Linked DNA regions of Struthio camelus. The protein of the gene in region 1 purifies or fractionates together with the protein of each later gene. This does not show direct contact. Links are inferred from orthologs where the notes say so. Each region holds a gene or a part of one and is shown on either strand. Other genes may lie near its edges.

What was found.
Region 2: the proteins of NRP1 (region 1) and UBR2 purify together in Homo sapiens (affinity purification with mass spectrometry; 3 studies listed by BioGRID and IntAct, counting the BioPlex papers as one, with this or other methods). This does not show direct contact. The link is inferred for Struthio camelus from reciprocal best matches to the Homo sapiens genes NRP1 and UBR2.
Region 3: the proteins of NRP1 (region 1) and PLXNA1 purify together in Homo sapiens (affinity purification with western blotting; 4 studies listed by BioGRID). This does not show direct contact. The link is inferred for Struthio camelus from reciprocal best matches to the Homo sapiens genes NRP1 and PLXNA1.

What each region holds. Positions count from the first base shown.
Region 1 is NC_090943.1:16,657,571-16,665,732, reverse strand, and holds the start of NRP1 (neuropilin-1), read right to left. Parts: upstream 3,188-8,162; 5' UTR 3,017-3,187; intron 2,839-3,016; 5' UTR 2,420-2,838; coding exon 2,353-2,419; intron 1-2,352. UniProt on the Homo sapiens protein: Cell-surface receptor involved in the development of the cardiovascular system, in angiogenesis, in the formation of certain neuronal circuits and in organogenesis outside the nervous system. Mediates the chemorepulsant activity of semaphorins.
Region 2 is NC_090944.1:112,908,960-112,916,642, forward strand, and holds the start of UBR2 (E3 ubiquitin-protein ligase UBR2), read right to left. Parts: upstream 3,040-7,683; 5' UTR 2,905-3,039; coding exon 2,827-2,904; intron 1-2,826. UniProt on the Homo sapiens protein: E3 ubiquitin-protein ligase which is a component of the N-end rule pathway.
Region 3 is NC_090955.1:7,871,996-7,879,870, forward strand, and holds the start of PLXNA1 (plexin-A1), read left to right. Parts: upstream 1-4,718; 5' UTR 4,719-4,832; intron 4,833-7,875. UniProt on the Homo sapiens protein: Coreceptor for SEMA3A, SEMA3C, SEMA3F and SEMA6D. Necessary for signaling by class 3 semaphorins and subsequent remodeling of the cytoskeleton. Plays a role in axon guidance, invasive growth and cell migration.

The DNA.
Region 1 (8,162 bases):
TCACAGTCCAGTGCAGGCTTGTGTTATCACTTTTTTTACTACTATGGATTTCTTTCTATAGATCTTCAGGGAGAAAACCTTTCCCCACACACTGATTGTTTAATTTTCACCAATAAAATATGATAGTAAACTACAGACAGGAAGAATGTCTGCACTAAAAAGCAAGTCTATACACCACTATATCCCAATAACTATATGTACAGACTGCAATGCTGTGTCTAATACATTCTCTATGACAGCCAAATGGCATTTCTTGCTCTCAGCATGAATTTATAAATGTACAGAATTTTATTGTAGGAAAACCAGGTCAAATGGAAATGAACAAGGAAGTACACATCAAAAATGCATAAAGCTGAACACCTTAACGGGGATTATTTGCCATAAATTAGAAAGGAAGGCGATGATATGTATTCTGCTGTCTGGTCAAAAAACAGATATTGCTAAGCATGTTGCTGGGAATGGTTATCTTATTATTTATTTCCGCTTTGCCTTTGTAAAGCAGGCTATTTGCCTCTGACCAGAACAAAAGGCGTTGCAGCTCAAAGCTCAAAAGCTGTCACTGGTGATCTTTCTAATCCGCCTTACTAGGGCTCGCAGAGAATCCTGCCTTTTCCTCTCTCCGTAAGCACACTCGGAAAGTGATCCTGTCTCATTAAATCCACTCCAGCCCTGCAAACAACATGGCAGAGTCTGGCATCTGTTAAATGCCTGAAATAAAGCAGTGCTGCTTCTAGTCACTTGACAGAGTCACTTCAGTGGACGCTGAGGTGGACTCACTACCACCAGCGCGCCTTAATCTCCGACTTCTGGGAAAGTGACAGTGTAATAAGATAATACGGTCTGCTAGACTCCCTGGCTCTGTGCAATCTCCCTCACACTTGATTAAGAAGAGCAGTTTCTAATGACTTTGGACCATTAGTTCTAAATGAGGTTAATGAATTAATTTAGCAGACACTAGCATGGGCTGTAGGTGAAGGAGGTATTAGCAGGTCTGGTAGGTTACAGAGGAGGTTAACGGCCTGGGTGACTCCAGGAGGGCCACCACATTACCCGCTCAAGGTAGTGGTTCTGCCCAGCGGCCCACCCTTCTACTTTTCTTTTAAGGGGGAGTAAACGATCGAGAAGACCGCAGGGCGCCCCCTCCCATGCTCAGAGGGGTGCAGAGCCAGGAGCAGTGCCGGGCTCTCCGGGGGCCAGGGAGGCGGCTGCCGGCCGCCGCATCTGGGGCTCGGGGCAGCTCGCCCAGCAGCCCCCAGCCCGGCTTGACGCTCGCCTGGTAACGCCTTCGCTCCTGCGCCCCATCACCGGGGGAGGCGGCTCGTCCTTAGCAAATCAAGCAGCTTCCTCAAAATATATTGGGAAAGAGATTAACTTCCATCATAAAACATGCGATTTTAATGCGCTCTCTTCCAAGAGGCTCCACTTGCGGTCTCTTATTAAAACAATATACCAGCGTAAGTGGAGGGTGCTCTCTTCTTTTAATTACTCTGATTTAAAACCCAGTCAGGCAAAAGTAAATATTTGATAATTAGTTAATAATAATTGCTTAGGATTTGTCGGGAAAGGAAAACTCGCACGAGCTGTTTCTGGAACGAGAGCTAAACGTCAAACAGTCCCACAATTAGACCGTCTTTAAAAATGCATCAAGCAGTGAAATATTCCCGGTGCCCTGGCATTGTTCAGGGAAGGAGGAGCGCGTTGCTTTTAATTAATTCTGTTTTCACGGGCTGCCTAATAGTAAACTAGCTAGATCAGTCATTTGTTGGAAGATTTCGCTATTAGAAAGGAGTCTTGAGCCTTCACACAGAGGCTCAGCTTTTCTCTTGGCACTGTGCAAGTTGCACGTAAACTGCACACTTTGGAAAAGGGTACGCTAGGGAGATCTCCGTCTGCAGACTACCCGCAGGTACACACACAGCTAGTAAAAGGCATGATACTCAATCTTGCCCTTTGGAAAAGAAAGGAGGGAGAAAAAGCCTTTTCCTTAAAGTGTTCATTATCTTTCAGATTTCGGAGGCGACACTTATTTAATTGCCTATGGGAGGAAGCATTATCAAGATAATTGACGGTCCTGATCTTGTGAGAACGAGCAGCCTGCTTTGTACAACAGCCCCAAAGAGCGGAAAATAAAGTGAGAAGGCAATGCCAGGGCGGGCGAAACTCAGGCGAGGACCGCGCCGCGTCGGTCCTTTGGCAGAAAGTTCCCCGCAGCCGGGCTCGGGTCGGTGCCGGCCCCATTGTCTGCCGTGCCCCATTGTCTGCCGTGCCCCATTGTCCTCCCTCAGAGCCTCGGAGCCCGAGCGCTGAAACTGCTTGCCTACGCTGAGACCCGACGTCCCCTGTGACACTTACCGCTTCGCAGAGCCCTGGCGAGGGTGAAGGTGAGGGCTGCACAGTGCAGGAGAAGTCTCCAATCCATCTTCCCTTCCGAGCGCAGCGAAAGGAGGTTTAAAAAAAAAAAAAAAAAAAAAAGCCCTCCACACACAACTCTTCCTAGGTCTTAAATCCTCCAGCTGGAGTTGGGAGCAGAAAGCACGGTCCGCAAGGGCAGTCCCCGTGGCCGAGAGCTGCTGGCTTCTCTTTCTGTGCCTCAAGTCGCCCGCATCCTGTCATTTAGCTTCGGCTCCCTCTCCCTTTCCCCACACTTGTTCCTTCTCCAGGCGCCACTGCCCCTACCATTCCCAGGGAGACTAGAAAGCCAAATGAAAACGAGGGAAAAAAAAAACAGAACAAAAAAAAACCCAAACACACAAACAAGACAGACAAAAATCCTTGCGGCTGCCGGCACCTCGGAAGCGCTCTGCCAGGGAGGGGTCCGGGGCACGGGGCGGGGGTGCTCTGCGGAGAGGAGAGAAGCAAGAGAAAGCGGCGGTGAGCGGGGACGAGACGGGCTCAGGAGTTTTGCGAACTGCATCCCGCCCCGCCGGCCCGGCCCGGCCCGGCCCGGCCGAGCTGCCGCTCCCCCGCCCGGTGCCGGCAGCCCGGGGCGGCGGCGGCGCCCGGCGCCCGCACTCACCTGCCCCGGCGGGAGCGAGCGCGCCGCCGCCGCCGCCGCCGCGGGGACTCCGGGCCGGCCGCGAAGGGGGAAGCGCCCGGGCGGCTCCTGCTCGCAGCCTGAGGAAGAGGAGCGCAACTCAGCGGCAATAAGAGAGGCAGAGGAGCCGCCGTCTCCCGAGCCCCAGTCCCCTCCCCCTCCCCGCCCTCCTCCTCTTCCTCCTCCTCCTCAGCCCCCCAAGACATCGGCAGCGCCGGAGGATCAACAAACAAACACAGCGAGCCCCAGCCCCGAAACCCAGCGGCGGATGGGTGGGCTAAGAGGGGCGGTCGGGGGGCGAGGGGCGAGGGCCGGCCTCCCCCGCCAGGCCGGTCCCGCGGGCAGGTAGAGCGGGCGGGCGGCGCCCACCTGCGCCCGGCGAGGCGCGGAGCGGAGCGGAGTGGCCGCCGCGGGTCCTGCGCGCCCGCGCACCGCCGCCGCCGCCCTGCCCTGCCCTCTCTGCCCTGCTCTCCCTGCGCCCCGGCCCGGGCACCCGCCCGGCCCTCCCGGACCCGCTCTTTTCCTCCCCGCTTGCTCCCCAGCAAGTGCATGCGTGCCCCGAGGGGGCACCCGGCCCCACGCCTGTCCCTCCGGAGCCCCGCCGTGGGGCAGCACCGTCCTCTGCCAGCCCAGGGGCTGCCGGCCTCGCTGGCGGGGGCCGAGCCGCGGCCACCCCTTTGCATCCCTGCACCCTCTGCCACCCGCCCCTATTGGCACCCCCTTTCCCCCCACCGTGGCTCTCCTTCCCTGCCTGCCTCCGCTTCCCTCACCGCTTTGCCCCCTCACTCTGCCCATCTCCCCCACCACCTCTGGAAGGGCCCGAGGAGCAGCTGGGCTCCCCCGGCCGCCTCTGCTCCCCAGGGAGGCTGCGCGACCTCAAGTCCTCTCTGAGGAGTGCGTGTCTCCTTCTGAGCAATCCTCACACCGTGCCGGGGACAAAGGGGACACGGCGGGCTTTGAATCCCTCTGGTGCCTTTGGTGGTCTGGTGCTCCCCAGGCGAGGGCCTGTCCTCTCCTTGCCCTGTTGCTCTGCCTTACAGGCTGCCCCTTCGCCCAGGGAGTTATTACCTATTTGAACCTGGCTGCTGCTTTTATGTGGAGTGCTTTGAGCTCCCTCTGTGTCGAGGGGAGCGGCCTCTAATCTGCTCCCTAGAGCAGGGGTTAGAGGAAGAGCTCTGAAGGCTGAAAGTTGAAACACAGTGTTAAATGGTCCCAAAAGATGGGTTTGCGCTAGGAAAATGACCTGTGGCCAGTGGTGGATGTCAGCCACTCTCCTCACCCACAGCAGAACTTGGAACTGCTCCACTTGGAGTCTTTCTGAAGGATCAGAAGGAAAAAAGCCCGGCTTTGGTAGGAGGCAGGGTCATTTTCCTGGGGCAGCTGGAGCAGTAAATCCCTGTCCACTCCAGAGATGTAACTATGTTTGAAATAATTTTCAAACATAGTTGTCAGTTTGCAGCCGCACAGATTAACTACAAATGTGTTACATCTGTGTTCAGAAATCATACACAGATTCGGCCCCCTCCATCCCTTTGTCTCCCGCCTGGAGTCTAAGCCTTCCACCCGCACTCTCCCTCGCTGCCCTTTTGAAGCCTCGACTTTAAGGTCAGCTGAAGTCTGGAGATTAAGTCCATAGGAAATCTGTCTGCCGGTTTCATGCTGTACGCTCTCTCATCCCTACTTTCTGAGTTTTTGCCAGACATTCCCGTTCTCTTCCATGACTGCAGTTCTGTAATATCAGGCACTAAAGCACAGTTTGATCCTCTTATATTCTCTGTGTGCTTCATTCTTTTCTTCTCTTAGTCTCTGCCCCTGCCCATGCCAGGGTCTGCAGGCAGGCCACGGTCCTCAGCTGGGAGCTGGGCAGGCTGGAACTAGTCAGGCTGAGTTATTGGGTTCAGTCTCATTTCCCTGTCTTTAGGCAGTCGCTGGATCATCATATACAATACTTATGCATTTTCTTGATTGATTGGGATGTATATTTTATGGGTAGCACATTAAGCCCCCTTTAATTTTTTTTCTTTTAGTGAAATTCCCAGAACAAGGGGGAAGGGGAGAAGTAACAGTGCTCTCTGCTTGTTAAAACTCTTATGCTGCTGGACAGTCCTTGAGATAAATTGGTACTGTCCTGAAGCACATTCCAGTCTGAGACTGACTGAGGGACAATACTGCTATTTAAATAAAGTATATCTATTTTTGAATTCAGAAATTGCCTACTAATGGTAGCTTATTGGAGGGTTTGAATAAGTGTATACATACATGTTCATGTTAAAAGCTCACTCTCAGAAGCCAAGTTTAATTTTGAAAGTGAAAACTATTAAGCAGAAATTCAATGGGTGTGTATATTAAAAAATTACATTTATCATGTAGAAGTGGTGACTGTCTCGTTTTGGGATTAGCATTGTCCTATCAGATAGGGTCTATGAATCTGAAGAGAGAAAATTACCTGTTCCCAGTTGTATGCTCCAAACAAAAAAAAATTTTTTCCCCATTTGTTTTCCTACCAGATTAGCAAGTTATTTTCTGTAGATTTAGGCACAATATATTGTTAGATAGTATATTTTAAAAGAAATTCTGAAAGAAAAACTAAATACTTAATTTTAGGTTATTTACATTAAATGAAGCTGGTATAATATGCTAAATGGTCAAGTCTAACGACAAAGGTTGCTTTTATCACCTCAACCTACCTTGTAACCACTAATCCATATACCAAGGTTTATTTCAACATGCTCAAGTCTAAAAGATCATTGCTTCCTCCTCTTTCACAGAGATATATGCACGAGGCTGCAAAGACAATTTACCAGGAATAGCCTCTGTTGCGGCGAATGCGGCCCGTGAAGCAGGACTTCTGCCTTTCTTCAGCACAGCGTGGACACTTTGGGTTTGACACCAAGGTTTTTTTTTTCTGTAGGAGCTTTTTTTCCTAAGGCCTAGAAAATATAGCAGAGTCTGCCCTAGAAAATATAGCAGAGTCTGCTATATTAATGTCCTCTCCTATCATAATGTAAATGGTATTAGTCTGTTTTTGCTACCCATCTTTTTCTCTGTGGTTCACAGACATAGGCACATGTTTCTATTCATGTATGAATTGCACTGAAATGAGGAGTGAAGATGTTCTGTCCTTGGTTTACATATATTTATCTGAAAATGTTTAATCTTTAATCATCATGAATATAAACTGGCATCAAATGAAACATTCAGAAGTCTTTTTTTATAATCCACTTCTCACATTTTAGTCACGGTATTATGGGTCCTGATCCTGCAACTGCTTACACATTTGTTCAGCTCTCCATTTTCACATCAGTAATGTGATTTTATGGAAAGGATGAGTTAGTGTTATAAGACTGAATCTGAATCCAGTGTATGTAAAAGTTAATGGAGTGGCTAGCTCTGGGGTTTGGGTTCAGGCCCATCTTTGCTTCGCAATTTGACTTGGTGCTTATAATGCTTTTTTGAAGATTGTCTGCACTTCTATTATAAACTTATTTCTCAAGAAGTTTATAATTCAGCCATAAAAAATATTTGCTGTGGGCTAAATCATGTAATGTAAAACTTAAAATTCCAAAGGAAAAAACAGTTTTCCTATTTTAACAATAGCTGAACAGAGCAAACTGATGTTTACTCCTTTATGCTCTCACATAGCACAGTAATGCATTTAATTCAAAATTAAATTTGGCAAATGGTTAATCCATGGCTGAAGACACCTTTATTTGGCATTTTTTTGAGGAAGAAACACAACAAATTAAACCCATTCATAATATTAAATTTCTGAAAACTGAGACTTTCTACCAGTATTTCCTGGAGAACTAGAAATGTATTTCCTTGACAACTAGTGCCTGCTAATATCTTAATATATAGTCTGGTACTCATTTATGACCTTTGTATTAATGTTTTCTTTTCTTTTGTTTATCTTTCCCGAGAATCTGTCCAAAATTAGGCTTCTGTGTCGTCTCCTCTCCTGTTGCTTTGGCCATGTGAATCACTACTTGGCTTCCTGTTGCTTACTGTACTGAACTGCAGCTATTCCCCCTTATCTTGAAGATCAGACATACATTTTCCCTTGTCTCTATCTGTCCTCTTTCAACCCTTTTATCTCCTACATCTTTTATCCTCCTACTCAGTCTCTCACACCCAATGCTTCTTTACCCCGTCCTCTCACGTTACACCTCTTTTCCACACATAGCCACATGCATCTAAACGATCCTTCCTCTTTTCACTGCACATATTATCCTTCTCCAAAGAACCATTGCAAAAACATGTTTTTCAAAAAACCGAGCCAACTAATTTATACATTATTTAAACATACATATGGCGATACATTGCAAAACACATTTAGATCCTATATTGTATTGCTTAGAGATCAGATTCATTTGCATTTACATCATCTCCACATTAACTACATTGTTAGGATTGTAGGGACTTTACAAATATCTTACCAAACTCCTTGCAATCACAGCCGTGATGTCTCGCAAATGCCTTATCAAAACATGTTCATCATCCTGTCCAAACACATTCCACTCCAACAAATTAGCACAGCCCGAGGCTTTATTAGTTGATTATCTGATTATCAAAAGTCAAATGTTTTCATCTATGTCAAAGGCAAATCATCACACATATCATTCTACTTCCATTCCTATTTTGACAACAAGCTAGTCAGGTCTCTCCTAAGACTAATTCTTGTTTGCTTGCACTGCTACAGCTGCCAAAATCTGAGTGTGGTCAACACCACACGCTTCCAAATCTTCCCCACCCCTTTCTTTTCTCCAGTACTGCTTGCATATTCTCAGTGTTATCTGCTTTTTTTCTAAAATAGGATGTGGGAGACATATACAGGATAAATGTGGATTTATAATAGTATACTTACTAATAATACGTGATCATACGTGTAATACAATACGTGTAATACAAAGGGTTCTGAAATAGCTATTTCTATGATGAAGGAAATAATGCATAGTAAATCCACCCATATGGACTAAGAATCTGACTGTATTTCCATTGATGGTAATGACAAACTCCGTCTGACTTCAAAAGGAGAAAAGCACCCCCAAATGACGATAATGGACCCTTAGATTATGAACTTCTTTTCTTAACTTCAGTTTTTCCCCATTTGGTTGCACAACAGGTATAT
Region 2 (7,683 bases), on another chromosome or scaffold:
ATTAACATTTTCATTGCTAAGAATTTGCATCCTTTTCCCTAGCTCATGAATCTTTTGGTCTCTTTCCATCAGTTGTGCCAAAGACGTACTGCTGCACGAGGAACTGACCTAACTGCAGCGGAACCAACTTAGTGTCTTCCATCATCTCTCTTCAGTAAGATCATTTTTAGATGATTTTTCTAGAGCACGTATTAGTTAAAATACTTGCATTTTGTTCTTAGCAAAATGCCTTTAATTTCAACTTTTTAAATCTGAAGTACCTTAGTAATTTCTATCTAGAAAAGATATAGCACATATTAGTTACACTACAAGCTCAGACAAATACCTAGCCAGAGAAAATTGTTGTTCCTCAGGTAAACAGCTTTCCCTTCCCAAAAATTCCAGCAGTACTTGCCTGAAAGTTAGGTGTGGCAACACTGGATGTCATCACACCTACGTCTCTTCACGAACTGAATTCTATACACGTAGCTGTGCATATAGTTCTGAGTATTAGATCCTGGCCAAAAGAATACCAGAAGGAAAGAAATGTGGACTGCTAGGACAAGGAAATAGATGCATTTCTGGTGTCCCTTAGAGTGCTTGTAAAACAAAACAAAATAACAAAACAAAACTGAAAGCTATGCTAACTTGCTAGCGGACTGATACCTGAGAGGCACTGAATCCCAGTAAAAAACTACTCAAAACTTTAGAATTTATTTTTTGGCCTAAGTATTTCATATTAGACAAATACTAACTGAAAACTTGCCTAATCTTCTACCCTGAATTGACACGTAGGAAAAATTAATATTCTACCCTGCCATGAGATTCTTTTAATAAAAAGGGAAATGTATCCTCCTTCATTTCCTCCCCTGACTTATTCTCCTGCACTTTTGAGTGCCAATAAATAAATAAATAAATAAATAGAATCAAAAAACATTGTTTAAATAACACTCATACAAGTAAACACCTAAGGGTCCATCAGAGTTTCTATTAAATTACATTTAATTAAGAGACAAAATAGCTGAACAAAATGCACGATACAAAAAAAGTCATGAAACAACTCAATTTACTACTTCCAGAGCTAAATGGCATACCTTACGTATTTATGGCTTTGGTTAGCTATATAAATTAATATCTGCAATGTAGGCTTATATTCTGTTACAGATGACAGTCATTTATTCTTCTGATTATTGTTCTTTGGAGGTTCATAGTTAACTTGTTGCAATAAGAAACTGAAATGCAAAGTACTATAACTATAGCTTTGGACTGGCATTTATTTTGTTAGTATTGTGCTATCAGCAAAGTAATACTATCAGCAAAGGAGGGAGAAAAACAGACCTAAAGACCAGCTGTGCTGTTTACTTACACGTTCAGGGAGTGCCAATAGCATTTAACTGCTAGCACACTGTGGGTCTGAAACGAACAGATCGCTGAATTGTAGCTTATGCTGGTGATTATGGGGGAAAAATGAGAAAGAACTGACTAAGTTTAAAGAAGACCTTGCACCTATGGCAGATTCTTAGACATGTGCCATTTGGTGTGCCTTTAGCTCAGGTAAGTAACTAACACATGCTCTAGAAAATCATCTAAAAATGATGAACCTACGTAAACCTATACTGCTACCTACACTGAACTAAACTAGCTAGGATATAGCTAACTGGGCACATTTGCCTACCTAATCACACCTTTGTCTCTGCACTGTAGATATACGACAGTAATCTGAGGCTAACCTGAATTACAACGTTGTCTTTCATTTTATTTTGGAAAGGAGACAATGTAACTCTCATTAAAATACACGAAAAAGCTCTCTGACGTCTTATCCTACAGAAACGCACACAAAGCACGCCAATATGTTCACAAACGTATAGATATAGTTCCTCAAATGCACCTAAATGTACCTATAAGATCAGGCATCTACCTCAGAAGCAAAAATAAAATGGTTCCTTGAAAACTTTACCCTTAAGATTCCCCTTCTTTGACCTTCCTGCTACTCTCTACAAATGCTGGAAAAGTCTATATAAGAAAGTAGGTGACTTCAAGTATTACCCTGATTCTACTAGCTATTTCCTCCACAAGCTTCCCATCCTAATAGTCCCAAACTTAACTGGGATAAGCTTTCACCAGAACTGCATCTTATATACTGGAGAGGAGGAAAAAAAAAAAAAAAAAAGGAGGGGGTGGGGAGCGGGAACCCTGTAATAAAAACCTCAATCTTGCAAAGCGTATATGGGACGAGGCTTCCACTTAAATTAACAGGCTAAGGAACAGGGAGGCTCTTCTCGTTTCAAGACAGCGAGAGGTGAAGCAAAACAGCAGCACAAAACTCCCGAGCTGCGTGGAGAAGGCCAGGAAGCAAGGGCAGCCCGAGGGACGAGCTCCCACAGGCCAGGCCGCGGCCCCGCCGCCCCCGCTGCTGCCTGGCCGGTGCCCTGGCGCCGCCGGGCGCTGCGGCCGCGGGGCTGGCCCGGCCCGAGCCGCCCGAGCAAGCCCGCACAACAGGAAAAGCCGGCTGCGTTCAGGCTGCCGCAAGAGCGACACGGGTGACAACAGCACGTTGGAGCCGGAGAGCGACGCGGCTTCAAGCCCGCAGCGCCCTTCGCAGCGCCCAGCCCGCGACCCCCGCGGGGAAAGCCCCTCTGCCCCCTCCGCTCCCCCCCCTCCCCAGCACGGCCCCTCTAGCCCTCACAGCCCGGCTGTACTGCCCCCCCCCCCCGCCCCGCCGCCGTTACCGCCGGCCTAGCAGCCCCCGCTCCCTCCCTCCCCGCCGCCGCCAGGCACCGAGCGCGCTTCGGCCCCGGGCCCGCCGCCGCCCCCGCGGCCCGGCGACAGGGCGCGACGGCGCCTCACCCCGGCGATCTCCTCGGCGGAGCACTCCAGCAGGCTCTTGTCAATAGCCTGCACCTCCGCCTCCAAGTCCGCCGCCATCTTCTCCCCTCCCCCGCCCCGCGCCGAGGAAGGGACACCCGGAACCGGGCCCGGCCGGCGGCTCTGCGAGGGGAACCCACTTCCGCCCCGCCCGGCCCCCTCCGCGTCACCGCCCTCCGCGTCACCGCGCCGCGCCGGCCCCCGGAGCACGCTGGGAGTTGTAGTCTTTCCGCGGCGCCCGCACGCCGCCTCCCCGTCTCCTCGGAGGCGGCGCCCTCCCCGGCCACGGCAGGCGCGGCCCGGCCCGGCCCGGTTCACTCCCTCCTTTGCTTCCTCCCTTCTAACTCAAAGCGATGCCCGGGGGGAGAGGGTGGCCGGGCCGGGCTGGAGGAGCCCTGCAGTCCCCGCAGGCCGCACAGCTCGCCCGGCCCCCGCGGGCGCGGGGGTCGTCCCGCGACACCTGGACTTCGGTCCCGGTACACACGCACGCCAATATTGTTTGCCTTCTGGTTAAGTTTTTCAGATGCACTTTGGTCACCCTTGCCTGTCAGCCAGGAAGGTGAAAAACTGCTTTATTCAAGGAAAGAAAAAACAATCCTGCAAATTACATGGATTTGGAGCTACGGCTTAAAGAGCAATTTCACAAAGTGCAAAAATCGCTGAAGCTCTAAATCCCGTTTCGCAGCGGCCCTCGTTCCCCGAGCCCCAGAGGAGGCGCGCGGCCCCGGGGGCGGACGGGCCGGCCGCCCCCCTGGCCTAGCAGGGCGCCTTCGCGGCCTGCCGCCCTGCCGCCCTTCTCTGCGCCGGCCTGAACCCGGCACCGTCTGGGCACCTACGCAGAGATGGCGACCCGGTTTGCCAGAAATTACACCAGCAGACAATACCAAGGAAGCCCCTGCTCCAGCCAGCTTACGCTCCCAGATTTGCTCCAGGGTGCAAGAGGTGGATGCACAGACAGGAGAGTGGCAAGACAAACTGTGCTACAATTGCGTGAAGTATTAGTCAGCGATGGTCGTAAATGTTACCATTGCCAGGTGATAGTGATTTACAACAAAAGCATGCGTTAAAAGTGGGTTCTAAACAGCAGTTTGTGCCTGTTAACGATTTTCAAAAGCTTCTCGTGGTGGTTGTGCACAGTTGGGTTTTCTGCTTGTTTTGCTTCTTTTTTTTTTTTGGTCTCTTCTTCTTCCTTCTCCTCAACTAACAACATAAATATTGAGTTACTCAGGGGATAGCCATTACCTTATTTTTGTCTAAAAGTAACAGATACATTTCGGGCCATACACTAATGAAAGAAAGAAATTGGGCAGCGCGCCGTTGGCTGGCGGCCCTTGAACGGCTTTAACGTTCCTCGCATCAGGGGGCAGCAGCGCACGCTTCCCTACTAGGCGTACTCTACCAGCTCTTGTTTAGAAACCATTGCATTTACATACTTTAATTTGTTTGTGAATTCTGGTTAATTTTTGGAGATGAAAGGAACACACATCTCTGGAGAGGCTGTTTGCAAGAACTGAAAAAGATGTTTTTTTTTCACCAGAGCTATGAGAGAATCGTAAAAGCATGGCCTTTAGAATATTAATTTCACCTCTTAATATTCTAAGGAGAATCTTAATTTCCTTTTGTCGGATTGTATCATTACTATATAAAGGGTACATCTTTCTACTTCATTTATTTTTGTTTTCCACATTTTGCATAATTGTTCTTAGAACAGAGAAAATAATTCAGTATTCCTCAGAAGATCAGTAAAATCTTCACTGCCTCTTATTCATGTGCTGTTAATGCACAAGGAATACAGAAGATTGCACTTGTCTGGAAGAAGGCAGAGGGTAAAAGAAAGCTGTATGATTTAATGATCTCTCCTCGGCTGCATGTAGAAAATGTTAGAAAAACCCAGTGGTCCAGTAATACGAAAGGCATCTTATTTTACCTAGAAAGGAGGGTGACCCAAAAATAAACTAAACTTGCAAAGCCGTTATTTCAGCCTAACAACTTCTTAGGTATACTTTTTTATAACCTTGGATAGAAATTTTCATAACTTTTAGTCTGTGCCATTAACTTCATAATGATTAGATATTATTCAAATTCAGGAACAATATTTAAGGTTGAGGAGCCAAACTGTCTTTATCTTCTGCCAAAAAAACTAATTCTTCCCAGGTCTATTATCAGATAAAAACTGAAGAAAATAAATCCATAGGATTTAATGTTAATGGGGTTATTATTAAACCTTCATAGCATTTCCCTGCTCTCAGTGATGTATTTCTGGGTTTCATCTTGCTCTCAACACACAAGATAGCCCACAGAAAGCTACAGAATCAGGGCTGTAAAGCTGTAGATATCTGTTATATCTCTTCGACCTTCTGATGCGCCTGTGTAAGCACCAGCTTGTCTCTGCCATTAAAATAACTAAATGGCACTATGAACAGGAGGGGTCGAGTAAGTTAGTTAGCCTCCGGTATGTTTAATACAAGCTGCATTCATTAAAAACAATGTAAATATACATAATTTATTATATTATATTATTATATAATATTAATTTTCACAGTAGAGACTGGTGGTCCCTATCTAAAAACTGTTTTAAAAGCTACTAACAAAACAGGATCTTCCACCCTACAAAACTGCCTCTCCACTTTAGTGTAACAGAAGCCACCAGCAGCAGCCAAGCTGAGGTCTAGCTATTTTGAAACAGAAAGGGCCTCCAGTAGAGCATGCTCTGAAGAGCTGGTCTGGTTACAGAACTGATTGTCTTTTTGGCAGAATATTCCTTGAATCTGACCATTTTCAGGGCATGTTGCAAAGTCCTCCACAGCATTTGAGAATAGGAATGGAAGCCGTCATAAGGTAAAGGGATGGTGGAGGGAGTTTTTAAGTGGCTGGTTTGGTGGTATGTTGACTGTGCCTTAAATGCAGTTGTTTTAAGTGCATTGATTTGAAAATAAACAGACAAATGTCTATATAGACTGTAGGGACAGATGTCTTCTTTACAGACCCAGATAAATAAAATGTTATTCAATTTTTCCCACATTGATGGATTCTTATGTCATTAGACAGACACCTTAAGTCTTGAGAGATGGATTCAGAATTGCATTTTATTCAGTAAGAAAGGTTCATCTCCTGCTACCAAAAAATAAAAGTAGTAGTTAAAAAATGTACTTCTTTGTCTACTCTCTAAAGCAGTGCTGTAGCTGTAACTTAATTTCAAAGTTTAACTATTAAAGCAAATGATCAGCATTTTGTTGCTTTATTGCAAACCTATATCTAAGATCATAACCTTGAAAAGACATCTGTATCTCTCTCTTCAAACTTCTGTAAGTCAGCAGCCCTTTACGAGTAAAGCATGTGTCTAAGAGTAGGATTCAGGTTTCTATTTTCAATAACAGTAATTTTGACAGAACAGTTTGCCTAGCAGATACTGAATGACCAAAGTAGTGATTTTTACATTGCAAATAAAATTGTTAAAAGCCATAGTCATTTACGTGGTTTCCCTCCCTTCCTCTCTGGTGCTAGTTAAGGTAGGTTTGCAGTCACCATCTCCTACATTGTCTTCAGATAATTTCAGAAGGTAATTCTTTTATTTCTGTACTGCCAATTCCAATGACAAATTACGCTGACCAAAATAGATTTTTGCCTGTGATACTGTTAATTAAAAGATGAATTGTGAATGAGGTGAACAATGACACCCCGTACTTGCTGGATTGATAAGAGGGAGTTCACTAATCAGGACATTATTCAGATAAAAAGGCCAGCTGGTAATCTGCAAACACAGGTTATTTTAAGAATTTGGTTCAAAATTAGAGTATTAAAAATACGATGTGACAATCTGTGTAGGTGATGCTTTTTTTTTTTTTGGAGGTAACAATGCTATAGTATCAGTCTTTTTGGCAGTAAATCAGAACATATTTTTTTCTCTACTTTGTCTTTGCAAGGCTATGATCTTAGATTTAGGTATGTACTATTTTAAACTATGATGTCAAGAAGTGACAAAAAATAAAATGGTCGATATTAAAAGCAGAGTGTATCACATATAATAGTGAACAGGAGATACAGTGGAAAGCATAAAGATGCTGCAGCCATCATGCCATCTCGGTGAATGTTCTGTGAACGTCTAGCAAAGGCAGTTATATAACTGATTTTTATTGTGTTAGGCAACAGCAGGATTGGTAAGCAAACTGATGTGCAGAATTAGAAAGCTTCTTCCATAGTGAAAATGAAGAGAAAAAAGACAGTGGAAAGGTTCTCACTTAACATCCAGTAAGAGGGTAGGGTAAGAGGGTATGCATCTTCATTAATGCATCGTGGCAGGCTGGCAACATGATTTATTCATATCATGCAATGTCTTAAAAAAAAGACAGTGCGAACTCAGGCTGTGGTAATTTTGCTGCTTTCTGCAATTTAATATGTCAACAATATAGAACTCAAGCTGGTAAGTTAAAATGCCAGCCTCTGAAAGAGATTTAGTGGAAGCTAAGCTAATAATCAGCAATGAGTTATACAGGGGAGAAAAATTAACACAGAGGTGAAGGGAGAAAATATACGCAGAAAATTGTGCCTGATCTCATTCGTTTTCACTATAAATTCAGAAGAATGCTAATGGATATTTAGACATACTAGTAAAACAAGCAGCAGTTCCATGAGCTGGTACTAAGAAAACCTAAGCTTGTGTCTCACAGGTGATCAACTTTGACACCTAAAAAGGCGCAAGCTCCACTTAAAATTTTTGATGCAGCTAATGCCTTTTTCCCCTGCTTATTCTCTGATACCTATGAACATACAGGTTTACGTTGCAACCTTCCCCTAAGCAAGGCTTTTCTTTTATGCAGCTATTTTTCAAAGACTGTTTTT
Region 3 (7,875 bases), on another chromosome or scaffold:
ATTACCCATTTTAATTTCGCTCTGGATCCCCAGAGCTCTGCAGACACATTTTGTTATCCTGGCTGTCAAGAAGCTTAAAGAGCTGCTGACGCCTCCTGGAAAACTTTGACAAACCCTCTGTTTGGCCACTGCGCTGCCTCCCCAGCCTGTCTGCCCAGGCTTTCGGTTCTCTGGTTCTTTATTAGCAAAGATGTCGATGAGGACAGGAGGAGGAAAAAAACACCCATCGCTGACATTTGTGCAGAACTGATCTGCTCTTGAAGCCTCTTGCCTTCCAGTGGATGTCCTGGGACTTGGTGGACAGAGCTGAGCTGCAGGGTTGGGTGTGAATGTCCCCAAAGCCCAAATATTTGTTGCAGGCTGTTCTCTGGGCAAGCTCGATTTCGCAGAGGAAAAGGCCTCTGGGATGGGGTCATTGAATTTATCTCTTCCCTAAGCATCGCTGTTTAGAGCAGAGAGTTCAAACCTGTGGTGACACATTCTAGGGGATCCATTTTTAGATGGTTCATGAGACATAACCAAGGGAGATGCCTTGTGTATGAAGACCTGCATGCACCGTGCAGGAATTCACATTCCCAAGGGGAAAGCTCTTGCAGTCAGAAATTGAAAACAGTTCAAAATCACAAATTTAGCTGCTTATTTTTAGTCCCCCAGCACTCAGTTGGACTGGATTAACCCAGCGAGCTGAGCAGAACAGCTTCCTCGTCTATTCTGGCTCTCTTCGGCGATCTAATCCTCTCCCAATTAGTTTCTTTTTACAAAGTAGTTGTCAGGCTGCTTTTAGAGAACAAAATGCCCCTCCGTCTCTTCGGTAACATAGGAAAGTGCACCAGACACACCGGGAACAGATTGTCTCTAAATGTAATTTTGGTCAAAGTTCTGCGTAAGAAGTGCAGAGTCAGCCACATGCTTTTAGCATAATGAGAACGAGCCGGCCGAACTTGTAACCTCTGTGGTTTTGGTCCAGCTGAGAACAGAGTCATCTTCTGCTTCAAATCCTTCCTCCCAGCACCCCGTGGAGCTCTGAAATTTTGAGTGCCTTTGAGGTGCCACTCAAGCCAGCTGTCTCCAGGGCATGCGGGAGCACGGCTGAGTCTGTCAGTCCTCAGTGGTTTGTCAGTTAAAGAGGGATGAAGATGCACAAGGGAAGGGGAAAACAGAGCAATTAAAGCTCCATCAGAGGCAGGACAAAAAGGCTAGGCTTTCTGGGCTAATGCGGGCCCCTCTGTAGGGGTGAGGTGCCCAGATCCTGAGGGAAGCGATGTGAGTGACAAGCGTGTCCCCTTGCTCTCAGGTCTTCTTGCTCCCAGGGCACGGTGCGAGATGAGCCGTTAGGCTGGCTGTGTGGAGCCAGTGAGCTTTGCAGCCTGCTGCAAGCCTGAGGCTCCTTCCCACCTTGTATGAACCCAGGAAAATTCCCTGCTGCGCACCCGATCCCTCCCCGACTCCTGTGCTGGGCTCCTGGTGCGGGGGCTGCTTGTTTTTTCTTGCAGTCCTTTTTCATTCCTCTCTCTCTGGGGCGGACCCTCCTCGGAGGAGTCAGGAGGGGGCTGCTAACTGGCTGGAGGTGTGATGGGGAGCCAGGATGGCTGCGTGCTTTTCTTAGCTCTGCCACCTTGATTTTTTGCTCATCGCTATTTTGACAATCCATCAGTCTCTCCTTCAGCAAGAATAAATCGTTCTGACTTCCCTCCCAACCAGAGCTGAGCAGGGGAGAAATGGGGAACTGTCTCACACGGTTCTCGCAGCGGTGGCCTGGTGGCTGGTGCCCGCTGGGTTGCTGCCTTGCCAAGGGCTGGGTGATCCTGCCCTGTGCGCGAAGCGCTTCCCGAGGAGAGGAATAATTCATCGCCTCTCCTCTTGCGCCTGCAGCACAAGATAGTAGCCATGAGACCAAGGTGCCCGTGGAGTGCTCCTGAGAGACAGCACATTAAAAAGCAGTGGTGGGGGATTGCTTGAATATCTTTTCCTTCTTTATACGTTTAAGAGGTTTCACTGTCTCAGTAACTCCCCCAAGAGACCCAAGTAGCAGGCTCTTTGGATGTGAATACCTGACAAGTTTTTAATGTGAAAGGAATTCACTAAATTTAGTCTCTTGGAAAAAAAAAAAAAAAAAGGAAAAGGAGAACTGTTCCTTTCTATCTGGGGGAAGCGATCCAAACCCCAGCCGCTTTCCTGCAGTTAGAGCTAGCTCATTTGTTCTTTTCTCCTCTGTCTCGAAAGCTTTTAAGCTTGGGCCCCATGTGCCTCTCTGTGCACAAATAAGAGGTGGGAGAAAGGCAGGCACTGACACTGCTATCTCAAAGGGAACATACCAATTCCCACTTTCTCCGAGCCTCCACAAGGCAGATGATGACGAAGTTAGGGCAGTGGGATAAAGGAGGGAAGACCAAACCTGAGGAAAAGAACCCTCTTTGGGTGGGAAGGGACCTGCTGTCTGAGGGATAGGGATGTTATCTGTGCTTTCGAGTGGGTTTGAGCGACGTCAGTCTCTAGCACAAGCGGTGCCGACGTCCTAGCAGTTGAGGACGGGGTGTAAAAAGCACCTTTGCTGTGACACTCACCTGAGTTACCTACGTTGCACTACATCTCCTCTTCCTAGCCCTGCCGGAGCCCCCTAGGACCCCTTTTCTTCTCCATTCTGGCTGCTTGAGGGTCACTAGGGGCTTCCAGCAATCTCTGGCTCTCCTTCCTTGCTCTTTCCCAAAAGCTGGCAGCAGGCTCTGCGCTCTCCTTGATGACGGAGGTTTCCTGGTCTCCATGGCTTCACGCATTAGTTATCCTCTTCAACCAGGGTATCGAGCTGTGTACATGCTCTTAACTACTGGTGCATGCGGAGGCAAGCACGCTTGCTCAAACCTCCGTGAAAGAGGTCCACATGAGCACGTTTGCGTGTCTGTGCAAGGTGAGAGCGCGCGTTACGGCAGTGCAGCTGATGTGTGGTGACTCCTCAACTTCAATGGCATGCCTGAGTCGGACGGGCAAAGCGTGTGCCGGCAGTGCGGCCGCAGATCTGGCTGAGTGGCTGCACTGAAGGCAAGTGGGGCCAGGCTGAACAAACCATCTGTATTTATTGTCCCAGTGCCCGGAAACCCCCACTGCCGGCGCTCTGCAACCTGCCCCTGCTACATTGGGAGGTATCTGCGCCTGCAAGGTCATGTGCGTGGCTGGCAGCTCGTGGCCTCGCCCCAGGACGAAGTCACCCGCGCGGACCCCGTGCTTGAGCGAGCCGGCCGGGGTCCTGGTGAGGCGCAAGTGCCTGTAGCTCCATCCCCTGGCAGTCAGATCGGGTAGAGCAGCTCCCTGCCGTTTATATCCCAAACACCGCTGATGAAATCTGTGGGGGTGTAGTCCTGATTATAAACACTTTCTTTATTTGTCTTTAAAAAGGTCACTTCCCAACTAAGAAATGACAGAGCAACAGAGAGACCATCGCTCATCCCTGTAGGACCTAAAAACCCGTGCTGGACCCCGTCCTTGCCTCCGTGTCCGGTGCTGGTGGGCAGAGGGGGCCCGGAGGGAGGCAGACGGCTCCGGGAGCGGGAGGAAAGGGTGGGAAGAGGGGGCACCGCTGCTGCGCGGGAAAGGAAGTTGCTTCCAGGCCTGATAAGAGAGAAAAGAAAAGGAGAGAGCCTAAAGGGGAGAAAAAAAAAAAATGGAAGTGACAAAAGTGGCCGGCATGGTGTGTGTTTTTTGAAAAGACAAATAATCAACTCAAACCGTCAATTAATTTTTTTTTTTTTTGGTTTTAATGGCTTTTATTATTTCTCCCCTTTGTGACTTTATTTTTCAAAGCACCGCAGACGCGGTGCCAGTGTGGAAAGATGCTGAACTGGCAGCTCGGGAGAGCAAAGTCCTGCCTCTGTCCGTCCGCCCGCCCGCCCGCAGGAGGGAGGCTGCGGGCCGTGGCCCGGGGCAGGCGCCGAAGTGGCCTCGGCCCCCAAAACGGCCGCGGACCCTCAAAGCTCGTGGGGGCCCAAAATGGCCGCAAGGCCCCAAGGCTCGTGGGGGCCCAAAATGGCCACGGGGGCTCAGCGCGTCCCGCGGCGGGCGAGCAGCCAGGTGACGCGGGGCGTGTTTCACCCCAAACCCTCCCTCTCGTCCCCACAGTCGTGTTGACGGCCGCCTCCCCCCCCCCCCCAACCCCGCCCCGCTCCCTTCGCGCCCGGACATGGCCGCTCAGGGCTGCGCGACGGGCGGCCGGGGACCACGCTGGCCCCGTGGACGGAGGGAGCCGGGCGGCCGCTGTGCGCGGTGCCGCCGGCAGGGTTGGGGCCGGGGCCGGCTCGGCGGTCGGCAGCGCCGTGGTGGCGGGACCGGCGGGGGGGGAAAACGTGGCTGCTCAGGAGAGTCCCGCGGCCCCACCCGCGCCGTGGCCGCTCCTAAGTCACCTCCCTCCCTCCCACGCGTGTCGCCCCTTTAAGAGGCGGGGCGGGGCGGGCGAGCCCCCTCCCTCCTGCCCTCCCCCTCCGCGGCGCGGCCGAGCTGTGGCGCCCCCTGGAGGCGCGGGCGCGGGCGCCGCCGCCCCTCCCTCCCTCCCTCCCCCGCCCCGCGGCGTGCGCGTGCGCGGGCCGCGGGGGCGCGCGGGCGGGCGGGCGTTCCGTCGGGGCCCCGCGCCGCCGTCCCATTCATGCGGGGCGGCAGCGGCGGCGGCGCGAGCGCGGAGCCCCGGGTGGCGGCGGCGGCGGCGGGGGGAGGGCCGAGAGGAAGAGGAGGAGGAGGAGGAAGACGAAGAGGAGGAGGAGGAGGAGGAGAAGGGGGGGGGCCGGCGGGCGGCTCGGTGTGGAATGCAATTATGGCTGGCACGGCTGAGGCGAGCGGCGATCCACGGCGTGAGTAACCCGATTGCAACTTTCCTCCGCGGGCGCGGTGCGCGCATCTGCTTTTTGTGCGTGCTGGGGGCGGGCGGGATTGCGTTTTCCCCCTCATTCCCCCCACCCCTTAAAAAAAAAAAAAAAAATCAGGCGAAGAGGGGCTTGCCCGGGCAGGGCACTGCCGGGCCGGCGGAGCCGCCGCGCTGCGGGAGCGCGGGGCGGGCCGGGCCGCGGCTGCGGGGCCGGGGCGAGCCCGCATTGCGCTCCGAGCGGCCGGGGCGGGCGGCTCCGCGGCTCCCGGCGCTTGCAGAGGGAGGAGGAGGAGGAGAACCCCCCCCCCCAACCCCCTTCTCGGGCTCGCCCCTCTGTCCCCCCGCTTCGCCCCGTGCGTTTGGCAGGGCGCCGTCGGGGGGTGGAGGGGAGCTGCTCCTACCCTTGGGGGGCAGCGCCGACCCGGAGCGCCGCGGGCTGCAGCCAGCGGTGATTTTTTTTGGGGGGGGGGGCGGAGGCACGGCAGGGGGTGCGGGCGGAGCAGCCCCCGCCGCCTGGCCGGTGCCTCCCGGCGGGGCGCAGCCGCCGCATCGCCCGGTACGTGTCCCCCCGGCGCCCTCCCCCTCGCTGCCCACGGGCGACGTGAGCCAGGGGCGCCGCCGGTCCCGGCGCTCGCACCGTCGCGTCGTGGCCGCCAGCCGGGGCGCGGGGCAGCTGTCGGGGGGCCGCGGAGCCTCGCCGGCTCTGGTCCGCGCTGCGGCCGCGGGGGACGCGGTGCCTGCGGCCGGGGAGTTGCGTTGAAGGGCGGCGAGAGAAGCCGCGGTCCCTGGGCGTTTGGTGGCCCTCACCCCTCTCCCTTGCGTGCATCCGCCCTGCTGATGCCCGCAAACACACGCGGCGGCGGCTCCCAGTGCGCGAGCGGGGAGGGATTTGCGAAATCGCTGTGGCACGCTGAAATAAATCCCGAAATCCCGTCTTTTACCTTGTCCCCCTGGCGGGGGAAAAAAAAAAAAAAATCTTCCTTCTGCCCCCGGTGAAGTGCTTGCCGAGCGGGGGGAGCTGCTGTGTAAACAGGACTTAACATGAAGGTCACTGGTTAAAGAGGAGATGGATGGGAAAGAAAAGACAGGCATTAACCTCACTTGTTAGCTCCCCCCCCCTTCCCCGTGCTTTGGGGAGGACAAAACAAAAGCAGGACCTCCTAACACGCAGATGAATATTCATGGTTCTCGTATGCTCTGGGACACGCAGGGGAGAAAAGTTGGGGAGACGAGCTGCCTTTTCAAAGCTGCTTTTTCCTCGGGCTTGAGATAAAATCCCTGCTGGCGGAGTGAGGTCTGTATCGGAGCGAATTATTAGTCTTTTGCTGGATTTTTTTTTTTCTTTTGTGGGAAGCTGCAAAAAAAAAAAAAAAAAGGAAAGAGGAGACAAGGCTATTGACTACATCAAAGGTTATCCATTTGAAAACACCATTTTCCTCTGAACAGCAGCTAATTGCTTCCTGAACAATCTCAGGGTCTTTTGTATATACTCAGTGGGTAAAATGAGTGACTCGATGCATCTCTCTCAAGACACCGGAGACCGAATGTGGTGGAAACGTAGAGAATCTGGGGAAAATCAGTGGGCCAGAAGACTCGCGGATGATGTGCGGATAATTTCTTAAGTGGTTACAGAGAGGGAAGGTTTTTACTTCTGCCTGCTTGCCTAGTCCCAGTCTTCTGATATTAGTAAATTATAGCGCTGGCAGCAGCGAGACAATACCGGGCTGTGTGGGTGGTGAGGAAGTTTAAATTCAGCGTATGCGATCGTACGGCAGGGTGAAATACAGGCAAGAAGGGATGGGGATCCAGCCCTTCCCGGTCCTGGTCCGGGTGCGTCTTAGAAAGTCCCAGTGCCGCTCCTTAGGGAAAAGCCATGCGCTCGGATTAAGCGTGGGCAGATGTGCCTGGGGATGGATGGACGGACGTTCTTCCCCGGTGGAGTTGCAGGGAAGCAGCGGTGGGGGGCTGGTTGGCTCTTGCACCGTTTGGTGGCTGGGCTTTCTGTGCTGCCCTTGGTACTCTGAAGATTAGTTTTGATGGCTTTTTTTTTTTGTTTGTTTGCTTGTTTGTTGTGGTTAGCGCAGCAATATCGGTTCAGGGAGAGAGATCGCTCGTAGCTGGAGCTCTTCGGGGGTGAGGCTGGAGGAAGGGCTGAAGTTTACCCTCTTGGCCCTTTTTCACAGACCCAAAAGATTTGGAGTCGAGCACGGGAATCAACCTTCGTGCCCCTTTGGGGCTGTGCAGGTAGCCACGGAAAACAGCCCCATGCTGCTGTCCGTAAAACAAAGCACTCTTTCCTGTTGGAGGCAGAGGGCCCTGAAAAAGATAAGCAAACTCCTCCTAACTGTAGCGGAGATGGGACGGAGGGATGTGCGGGCGGTTTAGGGAGAGAGCTGCGCTGCTGAAATGGAAGAGGGTAATAAAAGCCGCGCTGCTGCATGCTGGCAGGGCTGCCTCCCCTCCTCCATGCCGAGACGCGCCAGCCGCAGCTCCGGCAGCGCTGGGAGCCGCTGGGGCCGGCCCCTGCTCTGCCTCCCGGGTGCAAATGTCAGGCCGGGCAATGCATTTCCGTGGCGTTGCTGCGCGTTGCACATCCGTTGAACAAAGGAAAGAATCTGGCCCTGGGATCGGTCTTAATGAAGGAGACTCGTGCGTGTTTATTCTCCCAGCTCGGAGCAGGTCAGGGCCTTTGTTGCCGTCTGACTTGCTCCCGGCTGTAGCGTCAACCACCGGCGGGAGCTTGGCTCAGCCTCGAGCTGCGAATTTGTGAGCCGAGGAGCCTGGTGTTGCAGTGCTCGTGCCGTCAGGCTCCCTGCAAAGTCAGGGGGAGTCTTGCCTACGGGAGCAGACCTCTGCTGAATCCCACGGTGCTTTTATTTTGACTGCCTTTGCCTCTCCGAGCAGGGTGCTAGGCGCTGCAGTCGCTTGTGTGGGCGAGTGAGCAGGTCAGTCGTGCTTTTTGGCATGCTGAAGGAAGATGGACCTTGGAAAAGGCAAGGCAGCAAAGGTGCTGGCATTGCTCCGCGCAG